Lepisosteus oculatus: one gene and its partners. The protein of the gene in region 1 interacts with the protein of each later gene in a biochemical or structural test. Links are inferred from orthologs where the notes say so. Each region holds a gene or a part of one and is shown in the gene's direction. Other genes may lie near its edges. The genes, in order: eif2ak2, eif2a, tarbp2 and dnajc3a.

Region 1 (7,347 bases):
ATATATATATGTGGTGATAGACATCTGGTTAATGTATTGTTTGTGTTTTTAAAGGGGCTGGCAGAGTTGAACCTATCCCATTGAATATCAAAACAGGTAATAATAATACTTTGTGTTTTGTGATGTGAAAACTTTCAACTTTATTTGTGGTCATTCTTGTATGTCAGAAAAAATAAAAATTAAATAGAAGTTAAAAACAGGTATGGCTGACCATTTACAAATGTAATGGTTAATATATAATATTGGTGCTGTTTATGGTGTGAATTAAGATGAAAAAATATGGTGAAAATGAGAGAGTTTGTTTTTTAAAAAAAAGTCTCAAGCTATGTTTTGAACAGGGCATGTTAAAATCATCAAGTCATCTTCCAGTTATTCGTGGGTATTCAGTAAATGTCTGGACACATTCTGTATAATCTGTATGATTTGACCAGCTGAGGTGACCTTATTTGTCCTTATTCAAATCCTACATATTTCACTCTCGGAAGCTGCAAAGCTTTCAGGACAGCCCTGTGCTTGTTATTGATTAGATCGAGGAGGAATTGGGATGGAGGAAGTGAAAAAACGAAAAGCTGAGGAGAAGCTGGAGCACTACCGGCGAAAAGCAAACTTTAAGCAGCAAGTCGAGAAGAGAACATTGGATGACTTCAGGTAATAGAACAAAGAACAACACATATTCTGATAGTTTGTATTGCAGATTGTAATCCCTATTTGCTTTCTTGTATCTTTATCAGTTATTTTATTGTGGGTAAACTATTTATTATTTGAAGAACCATGTTGCAATCAGGCCTGATTCACCAAATGAAATAGGTTTTTAGTGCCCAGTGGTCAGTGATCTGAGGTACACAATCTGCCCCTAGTTTAGTACAGTGTAATTGGATGTTTTTAAATCCTGAGGCTTCCTCACTGCTCCGGGTCCTTTCAGAGTCAGACTGAGAACGGAAAGGGAGGAACGACAAACTGATGCAGATCTCAGGAAAAGCCAGCGTGCCTGTGAACAGCTGGACAGCCAGAAGGTTAGTGACAAAACAGTATCTCCCATCGGCTGGTTTACCATGGCTGGGCTTACAGTCTCATTACACATTTCAACTTTTTTATTTTACATAAACACTTTACATGTCTAGGGATTTAACCAGGGCATAAAGCCTAGCATTAATTCTCTTTTGGGTGGCTGTTGGTGTTGGATCAAGGCCTGGCTCAGGAGCAGTTATGTTTTCTAGTTGTTTTTCTGAGGAAACGTCACATGGATCGATGTGCTCTTTCTCCCATGTCCTCAGGGGATCCATGCCCCCAGGGAGGACTGGTACTGGCCAGTGTCGGGGACTGAGGAGCCGGGGGAGGAGGAAGAAACTGAGCAGGAAGAAGATGAGGGAGAGGAATTAACAGTCAGTAATACCCTTTCACTTTCAACCTTGCTGCATAGGCCTTAAAATTTGTCAAGAAAACCAAGGGAAACAAAATACTGTTTTCTCTCTGCCTGTGCGTGTAGATAACCATTTGATTTGCCACGAAGCATTTCATCTCCTTACTTGAATATCAAACCTTTTAAGATTGTTGCCAGCTGCAATTAGACAGCTATAAGATCTGCAGAGTCTCATGAAATCAGACAGAAATCTCAGTTGTTTGTACCAAAGGGATGTTTACCCTGGGGATCCCCATTACCTGTAAAGTGCTTTTAGTGGAGTGTCCAGAAAAGTGCTATGTAAGTGTAAGGATTATTATTATTCTTTGCTTTCAACTATTTGATTAAGAAAGAGTATTACTTTTTCTTTTTCTCAGCCTTTGGAAAAATTACAGATTCTGACATCATATCTGAGGGGAGTGCACTTTTACTGCATATGGTGTGGGACATCGTACGATGGTAAGACTAAGAAATGCATTGATTACTGCAGGATGTACTACAATAAAGTTCTAAGGCCTATCTTAAATATTTAGCTGATTGTACCTGTGCTTCAGTACTGTACTGCTATAGCTATACATCTCTGCTATAATCCATGGCCTCGGAACAATTATTTTTTTTAAATAACTGTTACTTAGATGAGTATTTTTTCTAACTTCATAGGCTACAAACTACGAAACATTGTAATATTCCTTTCTCCTTTAGTAGGTTATAGACTGAACATACCTGAATTCTCTAGGTCAGTGTTTCCCAAGTGGCATACCATTAGGAAAACTTTGCATTATTCAGGGCTTTGACTGTCACTATGACTCATATTCATGTTTGTCTAAGCTGCTCTGTAAAAAAAAGTAAAGAACTAGGCTGCAGTAATGATTGTTGTAACTAAATATGATCATTTAATTTACACCTACTAATCTACACCTCAGCAATAGTATATTTTATTTTTACTCTCTAAAAACTATGCAGACCTTTTGAGGCTCTGAAGAGATCTTAAAAACTGCTTTGTGGTGGACTTCTCTATTTTGTCCCATTTTAAAAAATTCTGCTGGAACTATTATTTCGCAGATATTAAGTTTCCAAGGTAACGACTGTTCCAGTGACGGTAATGAATGCCCCCGTCACTCCTTGAACACGGAAGAAACGTCAATGTTGTTTTTGGAAAAAAATGTTTCAAAAGTAAAATTTTATATATAGTATGTTCATTTGAGAATGTTTGCTTTGACATGCAAGCAAAATTGTTCAAACTTTTCATGGTAGGAGGTGGATAGGTTTTTGCCCAACATTTTTGTTGACGCAAGTATGCATGCTGTAGGCTGGGAATTGACTCAAGTTATGTTGCCCTGCAGATGAAGAAGACTTGACAGCAAACTGCCCTGGGGACTCGTCTGCAGCCCATGACTGATCAGGCCAGAAGAGGGGCTGAACAGGAAACTGAAACTTTTCAGATGATGCCCTTCTTTCACAAGAAGAAGGAGGAGGAGGCCCTTCTGGGAACAATAATATAGACGGAACAGGCCTAGATGTGGGATAAAGCTGATCCTACGTACACCTTGGATGTGTGATTAAGTAGACGTGATCTGATGTCCACAATCACAAAACAGCAGACAAAAGTTTAAGGTTTACATATAAAGGAGATAAAGGTTTACAATTCACCGTGATAGATCCAATTAGAGCTGAAATACTAACAGATATGTTGACATTGTAAAATATGCATTAGTTGTGTTGTTGTGGTCATGAAATGGAATACGAATAATAACATGCAATTTTATTTACAATTTTTTGCAAATTGTGCAATTCTATGTATAAACATCATAAACATTTATGATTTAAACATATAAACAAATAGAACATCATTGCTTGCATCTAAAATATGAACTATTAATAATGTGTTTAAAATGCAATGGTGTATTTGTTTTTAAGTGTATTCATAAAAGTGGTTAGTACACATTGCATCTGTGTTGTTTAGTTGTATATTTTATGTACTGTCCTTTTTGTAAAATGAAAATAAAATATTTTCATGTGTTGCAGTAGCTTACCTTCAATAAAGCATTTGGTCGAGTCTTGCAATAGGATGTAATACAGTCACATTTGCACTACTTAAAGTTGAAACATTGTTGGTAATGCTTTGGTCATTTGTATCACATCCATGAAGTTCAATGCAATGTCCAATGTTAAGGTAATTCATTGTTTAATCAATAGTATATTCCTTTTTTTGTGTTTTAGGTGTTAAAATATATGGGTAACCTAAACTAAGAGTGACAGTAGTTATAAAGAAAAGACCAGAAATCTAAAAAAGCATATCTGAATATAAAAAATCTTTTTATGTTGTTTTGCAGTGTGCTGGGATAGAAACATTTTCAAAGGTTAAAAGACACGTTCTTGTTTGCAATTTGAACGACATACTTGTTCAGTTACCCGGAATGTAATGCATTTCCTAAAATGTTAAATTACAAAGAACACGTATTGGTAACTGAAGTTAGCACGCACAAATCATTCGATTTTTTCCATCCTCATAAATTGAAACCACGTAATATCATCATTTTAGAAAGAAAAATCCTTCTTAAAATGTAACTTAACCCCAGGCCAGCTCCCGTCCTGCAGTGTAGTATCATATTTTAGCAGGCTGGCGGAGCTGATTGGCTGCGCAGTACCGGTAGTTGTTCTAGCTGTGACGTTTGGAGTGGGAAATGAAACTAAACTTTGCTGCTGAGCTGCAAGGGGAGAGAGGGTGAAGTGAAATTTAAAGTCAGTCGTGCACTAACCTGCAGGTACGGCAAGCACAACATAGGTTTATGATCTGTAAGTATACTGATATTTATTTGCGAGATTAGAGTCAACGTCGGGTTTTAATCTTCAGCTTCGTTTTGTTAGGAGTTGGTTCAAGAACGGGGGATTGCAGCAGCGTACACGAACGTTATTTTTATCGGCAACTGTAGTACTGATACTGGTTTGATTTAACACTTAGTGCGCGTTCTCCAGCTATGTTCCTGCAATCACATTGTAACAATCAGAATTATTTCTTAATTATTTGTATGTTTTTTTCTTTTCCATAAACAATTGCTACGGGCACACTGTTAATTGCTTTGTGTTCTTCATTTTTATTATAGTCAAGACTCTTCTATGACATAGGCAGCATTGTTTACAAGTAGGACTTCTCGTGTGAAGGAATCTCGTTTTATGTATTTTTTGTATAAATGAGTTATCTGTATCGGTTAATGTTATTGATGTTAATGATGGTGAAGGTGACTAAACGTCATTTGTTCTGTTTGCAGTGAATCAAGCTTAATATGGCTTTCAAGTTACTGTTATGATATTGGAGTAAGAGGTCTGCATTAAACGTCCAAATAGTCGTCTGTTTTCCAAAGCAAGAGAACAGTATCATAAGAGAATATTTATATGACCACTCGAATTATGCTACTTTTTGTGAGGAAAGAAAAGATATGTGTTTAGCATATGCTACATTTTGGCATCAGTGTTTTGTTGTTATGATGTTGCATTATTAAGAAACTTTAATTATAAGATGATACAGTTTTTTTAAAAACATGTTTCTCTCAAAACCAAGATGAGCTGTCATTAATAAAAACAGTCAAGAGTACAGAATTACAGTAGGACATTAGGTAAAGTATTTAATTGTCTTTCAGGTATTTTTTACAATGTCTCAAATGAATTATGTGGGAAGACTGAATGAATATCGACAAAAACATAATTTATCCCTGCAATATGTGGAGGTTTCCGCAGAAGGGCCAGACCATGTTAGACAGTAAGTTTTATCCTAAAGTTTGATCAAGTCTTATACTGTAGGTTCAAGATTTTAAGCAGCTAGACAATTTAGAGTGGATTGTGCTTATTTCACTGAAAAGCTGAAAGGGGCAAAATGACAACACCTCCTAACTCATTCATTCCACGTTCAAAATCATCATGTAGCACTTTATGGATCTGAAAATGTATATTGAGTAACAGTACAGTGATAAATGTTATACTGCAATCACAATAGCATTGTACAAAGTTATATTTATCATAAATTGAATTCCATTTTTTTCATTTCTAAGTATTCCTTTAAAATCCAAATTTGACAATGATATTCTGCAAGACAGTGTTTTGGAACTATAGTTTAGAACCTTAATGGAATTATATTCTGGAACTATATAGATGCTTCAGAAGATTTCCTGTTTCCATGGGGAATTAAAGGAGGTAACACATTTAGTAGGAACATACAACATGGTTAAGACTACTTGTAAAGTGGCCACTCTTGCAGGAAGACGATGTAAGCACACTACAGGAGGCATCTTGTGAATGTAATTCCTGCCACCTGGAGGATTTACAATATGTTACACTCTGTCACCTTAGATAGGGGCACCTGCTAAGCTCACAACAGCAATGTGTTGCATTCAAGTCAACCATGACTGGCCGGCCTTCACCAGCTGTCTGCAGCTGCACAGGAAGAGTGGTGGACAGTCCCACAGGACTCTGTCCAAAGGCCAATCAGACCTATGCATCAGTTGTGCTGGGATTGTGTTCATTTTTCAGAGGAGGCTGAGTTACTAGAGTAACTTTATTTTGTAACATTCTCACTTTGAATTTCAGAAAATGTTTTGGATTTCTGTTCTGTGATTCTGCCTGACAGTTATATTCCATACTTAAAATATTTGATTAAAACCCGTTAAGAGTTATTTTTTTGCACTCAGTACGTTTGCATTATTGTGTTATACAGATTCACAATGAAAGTGGTGCTGGACAGTCAGGCTTATCCTGATGGCGTTGGAATGTCTAAGAGGGAGGCGAAGCAAAATGCCGCAAAAAATGCTTTGGAAAAGCTATGGGTCGAAGTTTCTCAGCAGAATGACCCTGTGAGTATCAGCGTGGGCGGTTTTCTCTTACTCTGTGCTTTCCTTGACCATGCTTACAGTATGTATACTCAAATAAAATATACCATCTGTCCATTTTAAATAATAGCTTAGACCAATTCAAGGTTGTGGTGATCCACTGCCTAATCTGGCAGACAATAGACACAAGGCAGCATGCACTTTGAATGGTACACCCGTTCATTGTAGAGTGTACATACAGTTTAGAGATGGCAATTAACCTAGATATCCACCTAGTAACAGAGCAGGTCTTTGGATTTTGGGAGCAAATTGGAGCACCCACATGGTCTTGGAGAGATCATGTGAACTACACCTGGGAGGCACCCCCAGCAGGACCCAAGAACTGTGAGGAAGTAACATTAAACTGCAAGACCCCCTTAAGTAAGACCAAACAATACGTAAACTTTGTCTGAATAGAGGTAGTATGTTCTCCCTGTGTTTATGTGGGTTTCCTCCAGGTGTTCCAGTTTCCTTCCACAGTCCAAAAACAAACTGGTGGCTTTATTGACTTCTGAGAAAATTGGCCCTGATGTGAGTATGTGTGTCTGTCTGTCCTGCGATGGACTGATGTCCTGTCCAAGGTTGTCTGTCACCTTGTGCCTGTTGCTTGCCAGGAATAGTATCCAGCTCCCCCACCACTCTGAACTGGAAGTAGCAGTTAGAAAATGGATGGATGGATAATTGATTCCCAAGAGATGCGGAAAACGTTTACTGAGAACCAGCATTAGGGTCTGAATTTAATTAGGAAAAAAAACCTATTGTGAAATTTTAGAACCTGTGAATGAATATAAAATCTGCTTCAATGCCATTTACTGCAGGTCAACAGCAGCAGGGAATCCAGTTGTCCTTCACCTGTGTCTACTCAGGGAATTAACCATTTGTGCTGGCTGAATGAATATGGTCAGAAGAAAGGGGTACTTGTACAGCCCTTTGAGAGGAGCGATGGAGGCCCACCACACATGCCACAGTAAGAATTTAGCCACCTCAAAAAAAAAAACCAAGCGGAGAAGAGATGAGTTCCCATCCAGAGGGTTGCTTTATCGGACGGGTAACGGGGTGTTTCACTTTTGCATCTGAGACGAGACAGTG
Region 2 (7,148 bases), on another chromosome or scaffold:
ACTAAAGCCCAGCTCGTGGGACCTGCTGCCGAGGGCACAGGGGGCATTTCGGAGGCTTTCAGAACCCGATCGGGCTTCCCGAACAGAGCTCTCCCCGCACATCTTGGAGAAGTTACCCTCTTCCCTGCAGGAGCGGAGGGATAAAAAAAACAAACAATTTCTCCAGATGCCAGTCCTCCAAACACCCGCACAAAGGCCTGCTGAGGGCTCGGCAGTCACGCAACCCACAGGCATCTGACATCTGCATACAAGAGCAGTGCAGATAAAAAGTTTAAATTTTAATCCCGAGTCAAGGGCGCTGGGGGGGGAGGAGGTTAGAGATACAGTGTCAACAAGCCCGGCCGCCTATCGCCGAGATAAGCCGGCGAGTCGATCCCGAGAGCAGCACCCTGCGCCCGCCGGCCCTGCACGGCAGGAAACACGCGTGTCCCCAGGTGTTTCCACGGCGCTAGCAGACACGAAAGTGCAGTCGTACTGAAACCCGAAGTCTCCCTCCGAGGGGCGCACCGCGCAGCCGACGGTTTCGATACTATCCGACACGCCAACGGGAGACTTGAGAAGTCCGTGCAAGGAACCTGGCGTTCGGACTTCTCACCTTTCCGACGCCAAACCCCTCTTAGTTTTTTTTTTCTTTCTGGTTTTGTTTTGTTGTACACAGGAGATCCTCCTTCGCCCGGTTCTGCGTGCCAACGCCACGAACAAGCAGCGCTCGGGTGACCGAGAACATGCGAAAAAGGAAAGGAAAGCAAACTAAACTGAACTTCGACCCTCCCGGGTGGGGGGGAAGCTGCCAGAAACCCCCCCAAAAAAACCCAACAACAAACAATCAAACAAACAAAAAAAAAAGACTCCAGCCCACCTGACCCACAGACGACAAAAATGAACAGCGCCAACAACCAGGGTCCGACGGAGACTTTGTCGTCCTGAGCGTTTCTCTGAAAAGCAAACAGACAACAAAAAAAAGCCGAGATGAAAATGTGGAAAGTGACAAGATACACCCCCAGGGTAGGAGCTGCTGGGGCGGGGGGGTAGAGGGGCTCAGGGGCAAGTCGCCCCTCTGACAGCCGGACACGTCGCGCATCTACTCGGCACCGACCGAGACGCGCAATCGCCCCTCTCCTCGCCAGCTCCAGCCCGACCACCCGGCCGCTCTCCTCGCACTGGGGCGGGGGGCTGTGATTTTTTGCTGCTGCTGATGATGATGATGATGATGGCGTTTTAAGGACCGGAGCAGGAATCGCCGCGTCGCCCCACACTTGCACAGAGCTGGGGGGGAGTAAAGAAACGCGACTCCCCAGACGGACCCCGCGGGGGGAAGAGGAAGGAGGAGGAGGAGGAGAGGGGGAACTCGGGCACTTTTTAACGCCGCCGCCGACTCCCCCACCTTCTCCTCTCCGTCAGAGACACGCCAGGACTCACCGTGCTTTTGGCTACGTTGCCTCTTTGCGTGATGTTTTTGCTGTGCTTTTCGTTTGCCATGCGAATCCTCTGCTTCGCCACCATCTTGTTAACCTGCTGCTGCTTTTCTCCTCCGTGCGTCTGTGTTCGGTCCCCGGGCCGGGCTGTGCTTTGCTGCTGCTGCTGCTGCTGTGGCGGCGGTGGTGGTGGTGGTCGTAGTAGTAGTAGTGATGATGTGTGCAATGCCGATATCAGGAGAGGACTGCCAGCTCGCCAGCTGCGATGTGTCGCCCCGCACCAGGCTGTAATAAACAGGGGCCCCTGCCTGCGTCGACACACGCTCGGCCCCTCCCGCCGCCTGCCCACGCCGCCGCGGCCAGCGCAATCCTTCCGCCGGGCAGCCTGGCCTGCGATGTAGTCCGCCATAAAAATCATGATTCATAATAATAACTTTATTTTATATAGCGCCATTTAAAGGTGGCTTCTCAAAGCACTTGAGAGAGTGACGGCAATAGAAAATACACAAGATGTGCACAATGAGGAGACAGCAGAGGGGGGGACTGAATACAGGAGGAGCAGAGGGGTAAAGAACAGAACCAGTTCAGTAAGGGCTCTTCTGAAGAAGAAGGGTTTGAGTCTGGATCTGAAGGAGTTGAGAGAAGGTGACTCTCTGATCTCCTTGGGGAGAGAGCTCCAGAGATTGGGGGCGTAACAGGAGAAGGCCCTGTCACCCCCAGAGTGTAGACGGGCTTGGGGGACAGACAGGAGACCAGAATTAGAGGAGCGAAGGTTGAGAGGATGGGAGGAGGACGATAGTTGCCTTCCTCCTTTCCCCCTCTGTGCTTCGCAGAAGATCTCTGCTGTGTTGTATTCTTCTTGTGGAGGCCAACAGAGACAGTTCGACAGCTGTGTGACGGGGTCAAGAGGAGAACTTGTCAAGCTGAAAACAGGAAGTAAACCTTTTCAAGTCTTGATCGGAGAAGACTATTTATTTAGAGAATGTGAAATGCGAGTGAATTCATCGAGTTCCTTAGCAGGGCAAGAGAGACCTTCTTAATGGCTCATGATGGACAAATCCAGTTTACACAGTTTATTGATAACCTGAAACGGATATACAAAGGCAAAAAGAAACTGATGATGTTGGCGCGGGAGAGGTTCGGTTGACGGAATTCTGTCTCTTTCTTTTTACTTGAGCCTGCCTTTGTATCCTTTTTAACTTAAAATGAAAAAAAAAATCAGTCACAGAGCCACACCGATATTATATGTGTATTGAAAGAGAAAATTGTCATGTTGTGGAAGTTTGTGTGTTTTCTTTTATTTGTATGAGAGAGAGGTTAAAGAGAAGAAAGTTTTGGTTTACCCCGCGAATGCGAGGAGACTATGTTCCAGACCCGGCCCGGTTACTCAGAGTCCTCGAAGGCTCTTGTCGACCCAGCAGGGTTCTTCAGACTGAGCTATCGAACATGAGCCGTGAGACACAGGTGGAAACGAGGGGTTCACTTTGAAACCCCACACTTTGGGGCGCTTGTTTCATGAAGGTTTGTGTGGCGTCTGGAACAAGCTGCCCAGGCCAGGGCAAGATGCTCAGATCAGTTATCTTCCCACCACTAAATAATATAGGATCACTTTATTGGCCCTATACAATTTCTTGCATTAGGAATGTGTCTTTTCGCAGACCCCAGCTTGCTCTCCATGAGACACACAGACAGGGAGAGAAGCTGGGGGTCAGAGCGCAGGGTCAGCCATTTATACAGTGCCCCGTGAGCAGTTGGGGTGAAGGGCCTTGCTCAGGGGCCCAGAGGAGTAGGATTCCTCTGCTGGCTGCGGGATTTGAACCAGCAACCTTCCAGCCACAGGCGCAGATCCTGAGCCACAGAGCCACCACTCCGCCCTAAAAGCACGCTCCCCAGATGAGACACAAACCCACAATCCCTGGCTTGAGATAGATAGATGAGGTTAGTGCCCCCTCTCCTTTGTAACTGTTCCTATTTTAACAAGAATTATAACAATGGCGCGTGAGAACTATGTGGACAAGAAGTAAAATTGATAAGTATCAATGTTAATTAGTGATAAGTATTTGCTAATTAAAAGTTCCTTTAAATCTCTACCATGACGCTCGGCTTTAACCAACCAGCTTTTGCTGAAACCCCCAAAATTAGTCAACCAAGTTACAGCACTGCCCAGACAAGACTGCCTCACACACTGGGACACCGCAAACTGGGAGAGACCACTGAGCAGAGACAGACCCGATGAAGTACAGGGTCAGTGACCACTGCCTGGGCACAGAAACTGGACACACGCAGACCTGGCTGCCCAGAGAGGACGGGCTCACTGACCACAGCCTGGATGTAGAAACTGGACACTCAAATAATAGAATTATGTTTTTGTTCTGAATGTTTGTAATTATGTTCCAAATTGTTACTGCTCTGGCAACAGAATGATTCATCTCTTATGCCAAAAACAAAAAAAAGCTTTGAAATATCAGAGCCATTTAATTTTCATTGCAACAGCAATCAAAATATGCAGAGTATTACTTTTAAATCAGGTGTTATACTCTTATATCTATGTATCGCAATACAGCAGCACTCTGAAGCCGAAACCAGCAGGAATTCCCGGCCGGACCTTTTTTTTTCCTGACGTGTGCATTGATACACGTACACGCGTTTCGGGTGATGCGGTCGGGTTTTGTCGACGTGTTTTTCCCTGTGTCTGTCTCATGGGCCCACACTCACTTCCTGTCCCTCCCCTTCCGGTGCAAGATGGCGCCCCCCACACCAGTGTTGGCAGGTCGGTAGCGTGATTATGTTGCTTTGTTGGTCGTGTGTGGTTATGAGGCAGTCGGCAAAATGTGGAAGACAAATTTAGTTAACTGGCCGTGTAACACGGGTGGATGTCCGAGATTGCCCAGTGAAACTATCTAGGAGTAGAGAGATGTTTTTTGCTCAACATCCCTGTAGAACCGTTCACTACACCATTCACAGTTTGGTCACGCTATTTCTAGGTGCAAACATAAAACTAAAGAAATAATAAATGTAAATAAACTGAAATAATAAACTTAAACTGTGTACTACCCTGGGTGTGTTTTGGGTATTATATGTGTAACCGTGATCTTGATCAGAAGCAGTATGTGCCCTTCAAGGCGATAAAGCTATATTCGGGTGACTTTATATTCGGTTATGCTCTGAAATAAAAGATCGCCCGACGTTTTACACAATTTGCTTGGCGAACACGAAGCAGCGATCCTGCCCTTCCGGGGTTTCAGGTGCAGACACTGTGTTTGGCGTTTACAGTTTTTTTATTAAGAGGACATTGTTTCTGTCACTATCGCTGTCAACAGTTCGCGCATCGAATGGAACATCCATGATCTATGGCCCTCCAGACTGTGTCGAAAATACTGTCTTTAAAAGGTATGTTATTGCAGGGTTATAGGTTTGACTGCAGACAGTGCGTATTTCTCCAGTTAACGTTTTTACTCAAAACATGTCAGTTTGCCTTAAAAACTTTCATTTCGCTTGATTTGTCTGGCGCCCAGGTTAAAACAAGTATAAAGGGGGAAATTGAAATGATAAAGTTGTTCTTAGGTTGATACGGGTGCACGATCTAAGTTCAAACATGCTCTGGAATGACTTAAATGTCCCTGCTTGTTGTCAGTGCTGTTTCAGTGGTGAGATGATGAGAACGCCAACAATTGTGTTTAAATGGCGTTCTCCTAAATCCTGTTTGATCTGGTTTTTTTTTCCAGGGATGGACGAGCAAGTAAATTTGTGACGTTTAGCAGAGATGGTTCCTTGTTCGCCTGGTGCAATGGAGACAAGTGAGTGATGCCTTTGGCCCCGAGAGGGGAGAACAGACCAGCCCTGGCTCTAGCAAATAGTCAGGTTTGAGCCTGTTTGCTGATGAAGTCTTGAGTCTGTCGATGAAGTAGTGCAATAGAATAAATAAGCTAACTAAACATGAATCCTGTCGCTGTGTTTCAGTAAAATTGTACTGGTCTCTGTTTTGTGTGCATTTCGATTGTGCCGAGCTGTGTTGTTGCTCATGAAGGGATACTGGTCCGGTGTTTAATAAAACTGAATGCCGGTACTGGAGCATGAGCCCGGACAGAAGCGTGTGGCTTTCTCCTTCACAGGGTCAGTGTACTTAATGTGGCAGATGGCAGAGTCCTGCAGTCTCTCGACCTCCCAAAGACGGCCTGTCTGGAGTTCTCTCCCAAGAGCTCCATTCTGGCAACATGGCAGCCTTATAGCAGTATGTATCCCCGGACACAGCTCCCTCCTTTCTTGCATTTGCCTGACAGACGCAGTTGTCTCTGTGGCACAGAGAGCAATCACCCTCCTTTGTCTCTGATACGGCCACATTCATGCACAAACCTTTTAGGATACTCTGTCTAAACTGAGTGTTTATGCTACCGTCACATTTAAACACACATTTATTCCTTTTTAAAAGGTCTCACATTCAGTATTTGGGGGCAGAATGCTCCTCTATGAAGAAAATAGGATGTTTCTGGCTCTGTGCTGGAAATCAGAAAATCAGAGTGTTGTTCTGGTCTGTCCCAGAAACGCAGGAGAGTGCTCAAGGAGACCCTAACCTTCACCTGTGGGATCTGCAGACTGGGAAGTGTCTTAAATCTTTCTACCAGAAGAAAATGCAGGGCTGGTAAGTGTGGCAGGGGTTTTCAGAGCAGAGTTACACTTACGGACGAGAGGAGTTCATTCAGCCCCCTCTCGTTCGTCTGGTAGTTGGTAGCTAATTGATCCAGGGATCTCGATCATCAGGGAATTGTCTTCAACAACATGGCTGGGCTGCCTTTTCTAGACCCTTTACGTAAACAAAAGGTGCGTGGTTTTAAATGCACTAACAATTATTAAATGCATAAACGGTCACAGTGACACACAGCAGGTGAAATGTTGCTGACGAGTCCGATGACCCCAAAGTGAAGAGCTGCTGTGATGCTAGAGAATCCTAGAGGTGTCGAACGAGGGTTCGTTCCACACTGGTGGCGCTTAACTCCCTTTCTTGTTTCTTTAGGTGCCCAACCTGGTCCGATGATGAAAGTATCGCCGTCAGGAATGTAAACAACGAGCTCCATTTTTTCGAAAATAACAAATTTGGTGAGCAGCGCTTACGTTAAGAGCATGAGCTACTGCAGCAGTTAAAGAAACCGCGGTGGCGGCCCCAGTTCTGTGACAGCGCTGACCCCGACCTACACTGGGTGCTAATTGAAAGTGGCTGGATAATAAAAATCTGTTTACAAGGGGACTGAAGCCGCTTCTAAATTTCATCCCTTGGTTTCCTTGTGGGAAACGTATTAAAACCTGAGAGCTGATTTCCTCAGAGCAGTGCTTTCAGAGAAGATGTGCTTTTTTCTTTGGTCCTTATAAATCGGCATGCGAAATAATATTTTCTGTCGCCAATTTTCAGCTGTAAATTATCATCTGAGTCAACATCTATATAACTAAATTTGGTGTGTCAATGTGTCATATTTAAAGACTTTTGTGAAGCTCAGAGGCAATTATCACGCTTCCTCAAGTATAAACATGTGTAAAAAGCACTGTGTAGCAGAAAAAATCGACGCAGAGATTCAGGTATAGGCATATTTCACTTTCTCGGTTTGAACAGATTGTTTCTAGGTGTCTGAACTGCCTGTGTTCAGGGTGCTTGCTTGTACCTCTTACTGCTTGCATGTGCAAAGTTGCTTTTCATGGTCACCATGTTGGATAACAGGCTAATCTCTTTAATTCCCCAGTCCT
Region 3 (8,085 bases), on another chromosome or scaffold:
GCAATGCAAGGCAAATTGGGAAGGGCGAGTGGCGCTGGCAAGATACCTGTGTGTCTGGCAGCGTGCCTCCCTCCCCAGGCTGGACAGAGTGCTCGATCTTGTGGACCTGCTCCATCAGCAGATCACAGTACAGCCGCAGCTCGGACATCTTCCCCTTCAAGCTCTGGCTGGCCTCGTTCAGCTCTGCGCAGGGAAGACACTGACTCAGGCTTCACACGCGGCTCAGAGGAGCCCACTGCCTCCTGCTGTGAAGTTGGCGGCCCTCCACACCGCCTCCCTGTATCCCACTGGCACAACCAATACTGCCTCCCCACAGATATCTTTTCTCCTCCCAGAGACGAAGCCGTCCCCCCACGCGGCTTCCCACAAGCTCATCAGCTCCGATCGGAGGCCTCACTCCTGGCCTGGCACCTCTGATAATGAGCCATTGCGGATTAGGCACCGGACACCAGTGCACACTAGTGTACAGTATGTAAGGAAGCACATTTAAAACCAAGAGCAGGAGGTTTTCCTTTGCACAGCAGGCCAAAAGCTGGCCAGCCACACTGACAAGGACATACCCTGGCTCTTTATTCAAGAGACAGCTGGATGAGATCCCTGGGGAAATGTTCCGAATGGGAAAGGTATGCAGCTGAGCTAGATGGGGCAAATGGCCTCTCTGACTATTCTTCTGACCCATCTCAGCTCTGTGTGCCCCATCACAAAGCATCCCATCGCCTAACTCAGTCCACAATACAGGATTTTGGTATTTCCAGCCCATTGACTGGTTAATTTACCCAAGTGCAGAAGGTCGCTGTAATAATTACGGAGGAGCTGAGACACAGACTTGCGCTGGAGCTGAAAGGAAGAGTGCAGGTGGCCGAGCTCTGCCCGACTCCCTCGGCTGTGGCGCTCGAATACCCCGGGCTGCGCCACCGGGCTGCGGTTCCCCCGTGACCTTGCCTTTCTCCTTCTTTGTCCGGCTGTCCGCCAGGCAGGCCTTGGCGGTGCCAAGGGCGACCAGCCACCTCTGCCTCTCGCCCGCTGTCAGGGCCCGCAGATAGAAGCACTGCTCCCCGGGGATCACCAGGTCCACCCGCGTGCCGTCCGTCGGGTGCACTGGAGAGAAACACGGGACCCTGGCCTTAAATCGCAGCCACGTCCTGAAGCTATTGGCAGAAACGCTGGCAGAGACCTGCGCCTGACTCCTACATGATCAGCTCTGCTCCTAGAGGGTCGCCGGGGGCAGTTCAGCAGCACTTGCAGGTCTCCTCACCTCAGCAGCGACAGAAGGGTTAAATTCACTTAATAAAGACTCAATTGGTCCATAAGTAAGCCTCCTGCACTAGTGTGAAGCCACTGGCAATGTAAGCCCTCTACAAGATCCCCTTCTTTGCTAACAATCAAGTACACTGAAAACCAGGGAGGGGGCTGGAGGGGGTCGATAAGAAAAAGCCATGCAATATATTGAGCTATCCCTCCAGTTCTATGATCCAATCGCCTTGCTCTTCCTAACTTTCAGAGCATTTTCTGCAAGCATTTTGTTGTAGCCTGAATGTAGCCAGCAGCTCTATCACCCCACAACTGGCAGCCCACTGGAGCTCAGCAGGTTCGAGCCTCTTCAGTACCTGGATGGGAGACCTCCTGGGAAAGCTAAGGTTGCTGCAATAATAATAATAATAATAATAATAATAATAATAATAATAATAATAATAGCTTACACTTATAAAGCACTTTTCTGGACACTCCAGTCAAAGCGCTTTACAGGTAATGGGGACTCCCCTACACCACAACCAATGTGCAGCCCCACCTGGATGATGGGACGGCAGCCATAGTGCGCCAGAACGCTCACCACACATCAGCTGATCAGATGTGTTAGTAAAACCAGTAGAGGGCGAACACCCTACAGTCTATATGGGTCCTAATGCCCCAGTGCAGTGATGGGGAGACTATACTGTAAACTTCATATGAGACATAGATCCAAGGTATGTACACTCTGTGGTCATTAAAAATCCCAGAGCACATCTTGAAAAGAGTAGGGGTTTTACCCCAGTGCCCTGGCCAAAATTTCTCCTTGGCCTTCACCAATCATGGCCTCCCAATAATCCCCATCTCTGAACTGCCTTCATCGCTCTGTTCTCCTCCCCACTGATAGCTGATGTGCAGTGAGAGTACTGACACATCATCCAGGTGGATGCTGAACATTAGTGGTGTCGGAGGGGAGTCCCTATTGCCTAAAAAGCACCTCGAGTGGAGTGTCCAAAAAGCATTCCATAAGCGCAAGGAATTATTATTAAATGAATCAGTAACGCTATGGATATTTCAAGACATTTTCTCTGCTTGTGAACAGCACCATCACCACCAAAGGGCTGCAGGTCTGCACATTACTGTACTGCCGATCAATTCTTATCTGCTGTAGCAGACCCACGTGCTAAAATGCTACCTTTATGGTTTACCTGCAGCCACAGAGGCAAGCAATAAAAAAGCAGCAGTAGGCCACCAGCAGCCAATGCCCTGCCAGTCATATTAAACCCTTTCTTATGAGTCCAGCAAACCACGAAGGAAAGGGAGCTTTGAGAAAGGAATCGTGGGCCCAGCCAGGGGTCACAAGGTCGAGCAGATCCGATCCCCCCCATCTCGAAACAATGCTCTTCCCGCAAGGGAAAGTGGCCCACGGTGTGTCCATCAAGAAGGGTGCGGCAGCGCCACCTACCTTTAATCTCACACACCGCCATCTTGATGCTCCCCTTGCTGCCCTTCCCCACGTCCTCCAGGGAGTCGTAGTAGGACAGGATTGTCCCGTCCAGGACGAAGTAGCGGGGCTGCCACCCTTCACCCCGCAGAGGCAAGAGAGGGAGAAAAGGATTGGGATTGAGAAACGGGGCCAGACTCTGGACCACAGCAGATATTGAACTCGGGATAAAGATCAAAGACATCAGAATTAACATGACATGAGAGAGGTGGGTGGGACACTGATGGAGGCCACTTGTTCTACAGTTACTAGTCCGATGGGTTTTAATAACCGAACCTCCAGCTGAATTATTTTGAACGACTATTAGAAGCAACACGAGAGGAGCTGGGACACACTCCGGCTCTGAAAGCTACCCAGGTCCCGTAGCGTTGTGCCGACGAGACGACCCGCTAGCCGTTCACTACAACCTGGGGAAGCAACTTATTGAGCAGCAGCAACTGTCATGAAGGTCATGATCACTTACAGTTAAGTGGAGGTTGTTTTTTTCCCCGTTCTGCAACACAAACGCGAACCCTTTCCAGTTTAACCAAGTCTAAGTTAAAGCACTGACCAATAACAGTCAACCTTCAAATTTTCCAAGTGTGAAGCAGTAGCTCACCGGCGTACGGATACTGTATCTACTGTACTGAGAAGCTGATATCAAAGAGCTCTTTAAAAACAACAAATCAAGCACTTTTACGCACTAAAAAGGGAGGAAAAAAAACTTAAAAGCGTCATTTTTTAAAAGAAAGCATAAGTAAAACAAATTCAACGCTCGTGTTAGTTTTTTTTTTACATTTAAAACGCTTCGGTTTAACGCAGGAGAGATTAAACTTTTCTTCCCCCTTCACAAACCCGTGACGCATCCAGAAGGAAGCTAGATGAAAAAATTAGGAGATTCCTCTGAAATACAGTGAAGGTGCGACTCAGTGGCTTGGAAATATGACTCGATCGAAGCCTCCATGAAGTGGATGGCCGTTATACGTTATGTTCACGGAAAACAAAAAAACAAAAAGAAGTTCGCCGTTAACTATAACTTTGTTACAGCTGAAGTTAGAATGCGCAGACATTTGAAATAAGCGAAACAAAACCTAAACCAGAAAACGATGTAAAAATATCTAAGAGTTTTAGTACGGCTCACAAGTGCGCACGCACATGAATGTTAAATTCAGTCTGCTACCGAACAGCTATGCTACGTTTACAAAGATGCTTTTGGCCGAATGAACCGACAAAACTTGTTAAGACTGACAGCATCGCCTCAAGACTCGCCTTCACCTGACAGTCTTTCACTAATAAGACAGCACGCTAAGATTTAATACTTTTTCGAGCGGTTTCGAGCTACTTATTAATTAATAATGAATCACCCGATAAGTAGTTTGTCCACTTGTGCAAAACCCCCTCCATAGCCCGGCGACAACGATAAAACCCACCGACCAGTCGGCGACGGAGGAGCGAACCGGTGCGAGCGATACACTGCATTGGCCTGGCTTTGCCCAATCAGAACGGAGTAAACTGGAACAGAAAGCTGCCGATTGGCCGAAACTCATTCACACCACCCCCTCCCGCTACGACGGAGCGACTAGGGTGACTAATAACGTACTAATAAGACCCACCAGCCAATCGCAGCTCAGAGGCGACACGAGTAGGGTTTGCTGGGAATTGTAGTCCTTAGTTATAGCCAGTTCTTGAGATGAGCAGTAACAAACTTTAGTTGGGTGGTTCTTCAAGGGAGAAGACGCTATTGGCACGTACTGATAGTATTAAGTGCTCGCTCGATTCCACCCTCAACCGACACGCTGAGATAATTGCCAATGTACCCAAATACGTTGAACATATGATTTCAGGTTTGGAAACGTGATGCGTGGAGCATGAATTAATACATGCGTCCAAATCTAGAGAGGCTTGCATGCCGCACGGGAATTTTACCTTAGTCCTAAATTACGGATTCGCGCACGTGCTCTGAAATTGACCGTGCACATATGTACAGCATAGCTCCAGATTCCCTTCCGGTTTGCATCTCACTGGCACACGCTATCGCATGTAAACGTTTTGCATTTTTTTTACCCTTGTTGAAAAAAAACTACATTTCCCAGAATGCAGCTGCTCAGGCCCGGATATGGGAGCCGGCTGCTGCGCTCAAGAGCGGTTGTATGTTGCTGCTGAAGAGGCTGTGAATGAAAAACACCGGTTAATTTGTTCAAAGGGGGGTGTCCGGAATCCGAAATTATCACGTTTTCGTTCCGTAAACGGGGAATGAGCGACGAGAAAACCCCGGCTAATTGCAAGAGAAACTCTGGGTGCCCAAGGTAAGCCCCGAGCACTACCGGGGGGCAAGTTGCAGAGAATCGTGCCTTTCGCGTGCGAAAGAATGAACGGTGTGTGGGATTTCCCTGTTAAAATATATTCGTTTAGTATCCACTTATTTCCCCCTTAGCAGAAAACAGGATTCTACAACAAAGGCTTGTTTCGTTTTTAATACGAAATTATGCACTAAATTGTAACGCAAACATGGCTGAGTAACTTGCTTTTATCCGTTACCTTGACGCGGTCGTTTGCTACGCGTTTTGTTACAGTCCCAATAAACATTTGGGTTATGAAATTCTTCGTTCTTTCCTCCGGCTGATATGTCTTTAAAAGGGGTACCGTTACCGGTTTGCTCGCACACATCTTAATAAAACGACCGCGTTTCTCCCTTGAACGCACTTCTTCACAATGTTGAGAATTCGGATGCATTTCTGCTCGAGACCGATAGTCAGCTGCTATTCCGACACCTCGAAATCCTGACCCATCACTCTGTTTCTGCTTTCTTCCCCTGTCGAGTCCTTCTTTTATCTCTCCAGCTACCTCTCCAATATCTATCCGCGGGGGGCAATTTAGGGATGTTGGCCCAGGTGTTCCCAATTCTGGTACTAAGGGATTCACATCCCCGCTGGTTTGTGCGCCATCTGAGCGCATAATTACACGATTGTTCCCTTAATAGGTTTGAATTCAAACTCTTCAATCGTTTTCAGTTCCTAAACATGGAGGACAGGGGTGTCCGGTGCAGGAACCGGAGGGCAGCTTTTGACAATGTAAATAAACACATGGATCAACTCGATCAGTTTAACAGCTTCTCAAGTACCGCTGCATTAAAGAAACCTGGAACAGACACTTGCAGACACTGATGTAGGAGGCTGTCTTTTAACTTGGTTGTAGTTCTTAAGTAACTAGGATCTCCAGTCTTTGAGAAGAAACTTTCAAAGGTTCTGACCAAGCAATTTGTTGATTCAATGAAAGATCTCGGCTGCCATAAAAACATATGTCTGTGGGATCCCAGGAATAGGATTGGGAAGCCCCGTACTAGCATATATCCTAGAAAAAGTAGGCATTATTGGTATTAATTACTTAATTTTAATTAATTACTTCACTGAACATCAGTTGCTTAATTAACCCAGTTGCCGAGGATACAATAGCTGTTTCCTCACTCAATTTGTCAGAGTGTCTACTAGGAGGAATGCCTGTATTGATCTAGTCTTTTCAAACAAGACTTTTTTGTTTCATTCCCCCTCATCAGTATTGAGCAAATGCTGGCTTTGAACCCCGGAAAGACCCCTATCAGTTTGCTGCAGGAGTATGGAACGAGGATAGGGAAGACCCCGGTGTACGATCTGCTCAAGGCTGAGGGACAAGCACACCAGCCCAACTTCACCTTCCGCGTGACCGTGGGTGACATCAGCTGCACAGGTGGGTCGCCGGGCAGGCCGCGAGTCTGCGCCCGGATTTCCCTGGTGCGTTTCGACGGGCGATGTCATCAGTACTGCAGCCCTGTCCTCTGAGAAAACAGGGACTCCGTGATCCACGATCTGTGATCCTAATTTTAAGACAAACTTCAACTTTGAAACTGTAGATTGAGATATAAAAGAGAGCCAGCAGGAACTGGGGGTGAGATTTTGCCTGTGTCTGCCTTTGGGATTTGCCTTTAGCCAGAGGCATTCCAGAAGAACAGCTTATTTAATTTTATCGATATGGATTAAACTTTGCTTTTTTTTCCAGGAGGATTGACTCAATTACTGACTCAATTAAGGAGACCTTCCTGCACAGGCCTGACTTAGCAGGCAATTTTAAAAGATCTTACAAACTAATCAATATAATAACAGTGCTGGTTCCAGCCAAGCTCTTGACTTAGTTGACCTAACACATTGCTTGCAAACTTTTGCACGTTTCTGTATACTAAAAGTTGGCAATCATAACTTATTAATTGAATGCAGCGGTTTAAAGGTCCCCTCTGAAATGTAGTCCTATTAATAGGTAAATTAAGAGTTCAATTACCTGACTTGAGAGATCAGCTGGAACTTGAATCAGCAGCGGTGGGTGTGTCCAGGGCCAGGGCTTGTAGATCCTGATTTAAGGAGAGCTGTGAGAGCTGCTCTTGAAACTCGCCTTGGGAAGTCCTGCTGAAAGCTGTCCTGGGTCTGTGTTGCAGGTCAGGGGCCTAGCAAGAAGGCAGCCAAGCACAAGGCAGCAGAGGCAGCACTCAAACTCCTGAAGGGCGGCACCATGATGGAGATATCAGCTGATGGAATCAGGTGGGTGTGTCCGGTGCCTCTGTTACTCATAATAAAAGTGTCATCTTAGTCTGCAATGTCCACTGTTATCATTTCTTCAGGCAGTGATTTTGCATGCTTTTTATTTCCATAGACTTGGTTTCAGGTAGTGTTTACAAATAGTATACCCTCCTCCAATTAGTCAAGATTCACCTTTTTTATGGTCCCTCTGTCGGCTTCCACCTGTTTACATGAGTTGTACTTGGACCTGGTGCCATTCTTCATAAACATGGAATGGGAGTGAATCCCGAATCTTAAATCTGCCTGAACACCTGCATTTGGACCCAGGACTACTCCTACTCTGGTATAGCAGGGAGTTGACAAAGAGGGTGTTTTTCCGTTTTCCCCTGTAGTTAAAGGCTGAGTAGTTATTTTCGGCTCAGACCTGGGTTGGTGGCCCCCAGCGAAGGGTGCGATCGTGAGCAGTTCGTTGACTTGAACTTGGTGTGTTTCTTCCTATCCCAGCTCCCAGTCTGAGGCAAAGGTCTCCAACTCCGTGCAGCAGGCAGAGTGCAATCCCGTGGGTGCTTTGCAGGTATGCTAAACTGGCTTGGACACCAGTAGAAGGGCTTGCTCTGGCTGGCAGCCTTAAAATGGGATACTACAGGGGAATTTAGAAAGGGAGAATGGGAGGCCTATGGCTACCTGCCTCACCCATGGCAAAGGAAGTCAAAATTCGTTACTGAGCAACTTTCCCATGTGGGATCCCATTCACATTATATAGAGATCTTAGAGCTCCAGGCTGCAGTCTCCTAAGGATAGAGCAGCTTTCTTTGCTAGTGTTTGCCCAAC
Region 4 (7,748 bases), on another chromosome or scaffold:
ACTTGAACTGATTTATCCCATAGACTGCCGAGCCAGTTGTAGTAATCAAGTAGTACAAGCACAGAAAGGATCCAATATGTCCTGCTTATCAAGAGAAGAATGGCTTTGTGCCATCGGTATGTTGCAGGCTGGACTAAGTCAAGGCACTGTCAGGCACCATCTGGGGTGTTTACAGCTTATAGCAATGTCTAATCTGGCAAGATTGTGCAGCCAATTTCAGCCTGCTAATGACTGACCCTGATCTCAGAGTCACAATTCTGCACCAGGATTGACATTTCATCATGTTTATTCTTTACGATTTCTTTCACGCAGCCACTACAACAGAAGGAACTGGTCACAACAACCCCATGTGTCTAAAGTTAGGGAGCTAAACAGTCATCATTTAAAGAACAGACAAGCAAAGCAACAAGTGAGCCCAGTGTTGATCAATGCAATAGAATAAAATAGACTCACCAGGAATGCAACTAATGCATTTTTAATTTATGTTTTGTGTGGACCTCTCATAAAATGTCATTTTATGAGTAATCCAGACATGTAGAGCAATACAATAATTGGTGTGTACAGCAGACCATTTGAGCCAGACCAAGTGTGATAGTTTGGGCAGAATTGCTCTTGTGGTGATTAAGTGGAACAAAAAACAGAGGTGTGGGAGTCATAGTGGTATAGTGATTAGCATTGCTGCCTTTCAGCACTGGGGCTCTTGGTTCAATTCCAGACCCTGTGTGTGATCTGTGTTGGTTGTATGTACTCCCTGTGTGTGTGAGAGTTTTTTTCCACAACAAATGCTGGTAGACTACTTTTAGGAAAATTGGTATGAGAGTGTGTGTGTTTGTGTCTGTTCCCTCATGATGTGCCCTGTGATGGACTGGCATCCCCTCCAGGGTATACACACTGCTTTTTCTTATTGCTTGCTAGGAAATGCTCTGCCTCCCCTGTGACCCTGAGTTAGCTGAAGAGGTTAGAGACTGGATGGCTGGAAAAATAGGAGGACTGATGACGGAGATACACATCTCTTATCTGTGACAAGAGTAAGCACACTTTTTGAAACACTTATAGGACTCAGATCTTTAGTGTTTTGGTTAAACAGACTGAGAGTGGAGGGGGATATGGACTATATATACACCCTCATTGCATTTAATTGTATTGTTTTTATATTAACTATATTTACCAATTGAGAAGAAATAAAGCTCCAAACTGGAACCCACAATTTCACGGGATTTAATCCTCACACATCCATTTCAGATATACAGATCTTTTTAAGGCACTCCATTTTAAACACTTCTAAAATTCGAAAAGTTGCTTGACATATAAACTTTGTTCTAGTCAGGTAAAAGTCTGAGGTTTTGTGAGCGTAAAATACATCTTTATTACATAACACATAATTACAATACACAGTATAAGATTATCATTTACTTTATTTTTTTTCTGATTATGGACATCCTGATAATTGGTGAAATGGGCTACTAAATAAATTTCAGACTTTAGACCGTTTCTTTTTAGCACTTAACTATAATCATTCTTGTGGCTTTCAAATAAACTGGAGGGTATTCGTTTACAATTGTGAAGCTTTGGCTCCCCCAAATGGCCGTCGAAAGCATTGGCAATTTCTTCCTTTTAATCACCCTCCCTGAGACACCATCACGGAAAATAAAAGCTAGAATTGAGCATATTTTTTCTTTTTTTCCTTTTCAATATTCATTTTAGTGTTCGTGAACCTCGATGGCTGCAGGACGTGAAAAACAGTGGACAATTATAAAAACCTTTACTGTAGCTTTTAATATACCAATATTTATTCCACTGTATCAGCAAAATAGAAATCGACAAGCCAGAAGACAAAAACATAGCCAGAGTTTTCAAGCCTTCCAACCATGTCCATTAACTGTAACATTGATTGTGAATCCCCAACACTGCAGGGACATACTGCTTGGGGTAACCCTTAGCACTGCAGTGGACGTGTAGGCAATCTGGGATTGTGGGGACCATGAAACTGTGAAGGCATGTGAAAGCCCTGCAAATTTAAGAGAGGCGAGATGGGGAAAAGGTTTCTGGGTCCTATGTTACTGCCTAGGCATACTGTCCAGAGCAGCCCTAGGTGCTGCAACGGAGGAGCAGGGCAATCAGGGATTGTAAATCCCCTATAGTGCAGAGGCATATTGGCAGGGAGAAGCCCCTGTGAGACTTCTAGGCAGGCAGTCCTCTGGAACTCTGCAGGGCACAAGCTCAGATGTGCTTGAGCTCTGAAGACCTACTGCTAGGTAGGCGGGTTTTGGAGCTCAGCAGGCCGTGAGCTCAGACAAGATTTATTACAGTATATTCCAAATGGGATCCAGTGGACTTCCAGAAACTGAGGCAAGATTAGGGGAAAAGGATCTTGGAATCAGGGAAACACTGGCAGGTGGATAACGTGAGTACCTGCAGAGGTTTGCTAGGGGATTAAAGATAGCACCAGGAATAGAGTGCATCAGGAAGACCAACATTTTAGTAGGGGGACTGTCATAGAGTGAAAAACCAAGGTCCTTACACAGACACTTGATAATTACCAGACAGTTCGGGGGTGAACAGCCAGACTGTTCATTTGGGACATTTGATTCTGGTGACTGGGGTCCTGCTCGGGAACTGCTCTATGAGGAAGTTGTATTGTTTGTTCTGTGCATTGGGTGAGTGGTCATAGGAATCGGTGTATTATGAGGTTTTATTTACAGTATATAATGGAGTATTATGTATGATAAGTGTCTTGTCTGGTCTGTGGATGCACTGGTGGCTCTGGAGCTAGGTTCTCCTGAGCTAGGAGAAAAATGGTCCATCACCCTCTATAAGTGGCATATTCAAGGACATAGCAAAGCATTTAATGTGTTAATGTGTCACCCATACTGTGACAGTTGCACGACAGGTTGAGTTTCTTGAAACGGTTTATGACATGAGAGTAAAAGTGATCAGAACACCTTTTCAGGTGAAAAACTGATAAAAACACTTTATTTGGATATTGATTCACCAAGTTTCAATTAAATCAGTGCAGGGGTTCTTAAGATGGCTCCAAAATAGTCTTCAAATACTGAGGTCAGGCGAATTCTTGAATGATGCAAATTAAATGCTTCATCTGTTCCGCTATTCCCGTCTAAAATGAGGTTGTCTGCTCAGTCTACAAACATGAGCAATTGGGAACCAAAATAAATTTGATGTTTCAACGATTATGCCTGGACATTATTGTAGTAACAACCAAAAGAGGGCAGAGTTCTGTTCATTCTGTAGGAGCAGAAAAAAAATATGCTGGAATAAACTAATGGTAATATGGACAAAGTATTTTGTGTATCTACATCAAATTTAAATTAGTAATACGTCTAGGCCCGATTAGAACACCCTATAGTCCAATAGCACTACTAATTAAGGTCACAAAGGCATTTTAAACATGATGGACATCCCTTGTATAAAGCCTATTAAATACCTGTTACTAAAATATAAAAAATACTTGTTAATGTCACTAAAACATGACTTAATACCTTTTTTTTCAGTTATTAGACATGCAACATACATGGATTATACATTATATTTACTAGTTCTCAACAAGCTGTATTTCAGTAAAGTGATACAATATTGTTCCATAAAATATTGTGCAACACATTTTTCTCAATATTTTGTTCCTGCTGTCCATCAGTTTGATGTTAATAGTATATCTTGAACTGTTTATTTAGCAACATATTTTAAAGTTATTATATCATTTTTAATTGTATACTTATTATGCCACTGTCCAGTCCTGTAACTTTTGAGTTGCGTATAAAAAATGATTCTGATATAAGTCACCTTGAGTAAAGGTTTCAGCTAAAGAATAGCAATAATTAACGTCACAGATATAGCTACTTTGATACAGGCCTTCTTTGAAGTGTCTACAGTATGTAGTTTGCACAGGGTGATAATTATTGCGTGCCATCACTAATCGCTAAATTTAAACTTTTGCATGGTATTTGATATACAGTATATGTGAAACAACTGCAACCTATGTATTCGACTCATTAATTTTTTTATACCGATAGCTGACTTCTTCACACCTGTGAAAAAGACTCGCTGCCGAAAGGTTATTTTTTCTGCTTTTGAACGTAGAATTTACCTTTTCTTTCTTTGCACCCAAAGCGCGGTACCGCAGATGCCCACTGAAACCTGCAGTGAGAACCGAACTACCTCTCAGATATAATTTGTAGTGTAAATACTGTGTGACCCAAAGTCGTTGGAGTTTTAAAATTATCAAAAACATATGGATACCTGCACTGTTATGGCTCGAGTCGAATGTGAAACAGATTATAGACAAAAACAACCACAGCCTCTGTAATGCCACCATTAAAACAGAATAATCTACCTAGAAAACTGCAAGTAGAGAGGACGAGGTATTCTTACGAGTTAAGTAACTCAATTCGGATACTGCATGTGAAACATTTCCAAATCAGGTCCAGTTGACACGCTATTGCCTCCCCCCGAAACGCTGCCGTGGCTCCACGTTGTTGAATTAGAGGCAAGGGGTGGGATTTTAAACTCCTCCATCCAATCGGAGCAACCCACGACCAGGCGAGTTAACTTGTGCTGAACTTTAAAGGCTGGAAATAGAAAAAAAAACAGTATTGCAATTCCGCAAGGTTCTGGTAGCCTAAACTTCACGCTTAATTAAATTTTGTAACGTTTTAATATTAAACATGGTTTCAGTAGGCCCTTTTGCACGCAAAGTCCTATGTTATTTTTCATATATTCTTGTTTTGATTGACCTACGATATGAAGGTAAGTTTGTTTTTTTTTTGCCGTTTCTCACTGCCTTTTCCTACGGGAAAGATTATGCGTTTCATCTTCGCTCAATGCCGTTATTAAATTATTTTATTCTTCAGTAATTACCTGGACTTGACAAGACTTTCTTCAATTCCACGAACAGACGTGGCGTCAAGAAAGTTTGACAAGCCCGCTGGTTTTGCAGCTGGTTGGTATTGCCCAGAGTGCACAGTACCAGATGCGTGATGCCTCTTGTAGAGTCTTAGTTTATGGGGAGCAGTCGGAAAAATGGTTTATTCTTCCCAAGTCGCCAGAACCTATTTTTAGTTGAGTTCATTGCTAGAGTGTATGGATTTATCATTGTGTGCCGCCCAAAGGAGCTTGTATTGAGTCAAATCTAATAAAAGACGAAAAGACGTGCAGCAGTGCTCTGCTGAGCAGAAGCTGTCAGCGTGGATTTTAATGTTGATTGATAAAAACAAACTGCTCCGATGATTTCACATATAGTACAGGCTTTCTTCTGCGAGTATAACAAATAGCTGTGTGCCGTACTTGTTTTATGGTATAATAACGATTATGGTAGTAGTGAAATTTAAGATTTGTAAATGGTGTGGACTTCACGTGCGAAATTGAAGTTTTTTTTCTCACTTATTAGTTATTGTACTTCCTGCATTGTTTTTTTTTATAACTTCTTGATTTGTTTTTAAGGAGATATCGCATCATCCGAGTACTAGCTAAATTATTATATTGGAAATCGTATCTTGAAAAATTCTTTAGCATTTTTGGAAATGATTTTGCTGCTGCGGAAATGTTAAGAGATATGAGTTATGCTCATAAATTAAAAAGTGGCTGCTAGTTAAATGTGACCTTGGTACTGATTTTAGCTTTAGTAAGATATTTAGCTGAACGTGAAATTAAATCCCCTTTGGTCTTTTCTATACCTTTATAATTTGTGAGAAATCTTTTGATTTTTTTTTATGGGGAATAAATGGGGATATATAGCTGACTGCACACCCATTTAATATCAGAAGCTGAATGTCTCTTAAAGTTCCAGTTGCAACTCACTGATGTAAAAACCCCCTTTAATAAGTGTTTATACTTTTTTCCAGGTCTGTTAAATTGTCTGTAACAGTACCTGCCTTCTCGCCTGAACTGATATTTGCTTGTGCAAACGCTAATCGTGGACTAGTTGGGGACACTGGTCCCTCTGTACAAGAATCTAGAAACCATGCTCAAGGATAGTAACTGAGGACATTGTGCTATCCTTCATTTTTTTTTCCCCCCAAAATTTAAACATGTCTATGAATTTTCTAACTGCTCTATCCAATAGAGTTGTGGGGCAGCCCAAACCTATCCCAGCAAGCAACCCTGGATGGGATGTCAGTCCATCGTCGGGCACAGACACAGACATGAGCACGCTCATGCCAGGGCCGGTTTTCCACGAGCCAGTTAACTAGAACTGTGGGAGGAAACCCACATGAACATAGGGTGACCATACAGACTCGACACAGATAACATCGTAGAATTGAACCCAGGACCATCACTGTGAGGCAGCAATGCAAGCCAAGCTAAATTTCTTTAATTTCTGAAAAAACGAGAAGGAAGCAGGGCAGAAAGAATTAGCAAGTGTTATTTAACTGAAATTCTGATTACTTGCCATTAGAGATTCTATGGGATGTTGCTCAATCAGACCTTACTATTGCTAATATTAAGCCCTTAATTGAACTGGTGTTGCAGATTCTTGCTCTCTGATCTGCTGTGTAATGAGTGGGGCAGCATGTAGTGGCCATCACTAAGGTTTGTGCTACACTCCAGTGCTGAATGAAGTGTCCCCTGTTCTACTGTATGTAGAAAGGTTGGAGATTTGTTTGGATGGTGACTGCTATCTAAATGCAGTAAACTATTTCTCTGTTAGGATAAAGACTGTGAAAGAGAAGTGTGGAACAATAATGGTGCTAATGATGAGTTTATATTGTTTTTTAAAAGCATAGGTGGTGGAATCAGTTAGAAAGGAGAACACCTCTACTTTCAAGATTCAGATTACCTGAAAGCTCATGGCTTTTCCCCTTTGCAGGAGTGCAGTGTGGGAAGAATGCAGGACTCGAGAGCCATCTGGAAATGGGAAAGAAATTGTTGGCTGCCGGACAGTTGGCAGATGCTTTGTCTCACTTTCATGCTGCTGTAGGTCAGTATCTCAAATGAGAAAAACCTGATTTGGGAAACATCATCCACTGTGTTTTCTTTTTGCGATGAAGAAGCTCATCAAAAAACGCTTTATTTTGAATCAGTGCTGGGCTACAGTCCAGAAAAATAAAGCATCTGTTCTGTAATGTGTGTAAAAGTTTTTTTTCTTTTAAAAGCCACACCACTTTTCTGTTAGCTTATGCCAACATACTGCAGGGGGGGGGACATTAGTCCAGATATGCCTACAGCATTACAAACTAGAGACATACCTAGGAAGTAATGTATCTTTTGATTCTTTCTGCGTTGTGTATTTTCATAGAATAAACAAATTATTTCCAGCAAAGTAATATACCAAGACTTAAATGTGTATGCAGGCTATTATCATTTTTGTAATTGCTGTTGTTCAACAGATGGTGACCCCAAAAATTACCTGGCCTATTACAGAAGAGCCACAGTTTATCTGGCCATGGGGAAATCCAAGTCAGCTTTGCCGGATCTCAGTAAAGTCATTGAACTCAAACCAGATTTCACCTCAGTAAGTCAGTCTACAGATATGCCTTAACAAAATATAATTTCACACCTCTCTGCACCCATTCTGACTTCACACCTCTTGATTGGCCTCTCTTTCTGTCCCCTGCTCCCGCCTCTCACTCCTCCTCCCTCCCAACCTTTGTTCTCCCGCTACTTTACCTTTACCTTTGCCTACTGCCCTGTCTCTCTCACACCTGAAGAAGGCTCCACGGCAGAAACGTTGTTCTCTTTCTTCTTTTTTTCAGCATGGAATAAACCTATTACTTGTTCCTTAACAAAATATCTAC

The links.
Region 2: of the proteins of eif2ak2 (region 1) and eif2a, one has a biochemical effect on the other in vitro, tested with the Homo sapiens proteins (4 studies listed by BioGRID, with this or other methods). The link is inferred for Lepisosteus oculatus from reciprocal best matches to the Homo sapiens genes EIF2AK2 and EIF2A.
Region 3: the proteins of eif2ak2 (region 1) and tarbp2 form a complex in vitro, tested with the Homo sapiens proteins (2 studies listed by BioGRID, with this or other methods). The link is inferred for Lepisosteus oculatus from reciprocal best matches to the Homo sapiens genes EIF2AK2 and TARBP2.
Region 4: the proteins of eif2ak2 (region 1) and dnajc3a form a complex in vitro, tested with the Homo sapiens proteins (2 studies listed by BioGRID). The link is inferred for Lepisosteus oculatus from reciprocal best matches to the Homo sapiens genes EIF2AK2 and DNAJC3.

The regions. Positions count from the first base shown.
Region 1 is NC_090712.1:6,726,561-6,733,907, reverse strand, and holds the start of eif2ak2 (interferon-induced, double-stranded RNA-activated protein kinase), read left to right. Parts: upstream 1-4,051; 5' UTR 4,052-4,195; intron 4,196-5,037; 5' UTR 5,038-5,049; coding exon 5,050-5,156; intron 5,157-6,107; coding exon 6,108-6,243; intron 6,244-7,076; coding exon 7,077-7,225; intron 7,226-7,347. Other genes in the region: gpatch11 (G patch domain-containing protein 11), read left to right, coding at 55-96, 528-648, 923-1,013, 1,275-1,382, 1,777-1,858, 2,743-2,798.
Region 2 is NC_090708.1:2,572,389-2,579,536, forward strand, and holds the start of eif2a (eukaryotic translation initiation factor 2A), read left to right. Parts: upstream 1-4,089; 5' UTR 4,090-4,114; coding exon of another isoform or gene 4,115-4,157; coding exon 4,158-4,185; intron 4,186-4,735; coding exon 4,736-4,805; intron 4,806-5,140; coding exon 5,141-5,212; intron 5,213-5,527; coding exon 5,528-5,646; intron 5,647-5,954; coding exon 5,955-6,054; intron 6,055-6,426; coding exon 6,427-6,509; intron 6,510-7,148. Other genes in the region: stress-associated endoplasmic reticulum protein 1, read right to left, coding at 860-935, 1,420-1,503. UniProt on the Homo sapiens protein: Functions in the early steps of protein synthesis of a small number of specific mRNAs. Acts by directing the binding of methionyl-tRNAi to 40S ribosomal subunits.
Region 3 is NC_090696.1:17,892,184-17,900,268, forward strand, and holds the start of tarbp2 (RISC-loading complex subunit tarbp2), read left to right. Parts: upstream 1-4,793; 5' UTR 4,794-4,963; coding exon 4,964-5,016; intron 5,017-5,413; exon of another isoform or gene 5,414-5,512; intron 5,513-6,263; coding exon 6,264-6,433; intron 6,434-7,172; coding exon 7,173-7,275; intron 7,276-7,758; coding exon 7,759-7,828; intron 7,829-8,085. Other genes in the region: pleckstrin homology domain-containing family A member 3-like, read right to left, coding at 47-183, 943-1,098, 2,693-2,809, 4,141-4,189. UniProt on the Homo sapiens protein: Required for formation of the RNA induced silencing complex (RISC). Component of the RISC loading complex (RLC), also known as the micro-RNA (miRNA) loading complex (miRLC), which is composed of DICER1, AGO2 and TARBP2.
Region 4 is NC_090710.1:7,087,795-7,095,542, reverse strand, and holds the start of dnajc3a (dnaJ homolog subfamily C), read left to right. Parts: upstream 1-4,570; 5' UTR 4,571-4,679; coding exon 4,680-4,761; intron 4,762-6,820; coding exon 6,821-6,931; intron 6,932-7,340; coding exon 7,341-7,465; intron 7,466-7,748. UniProt on the Homo sapiens protein: Involved in the unfolded protein response (UPR) during endoplasmic reticulum (ER) stress.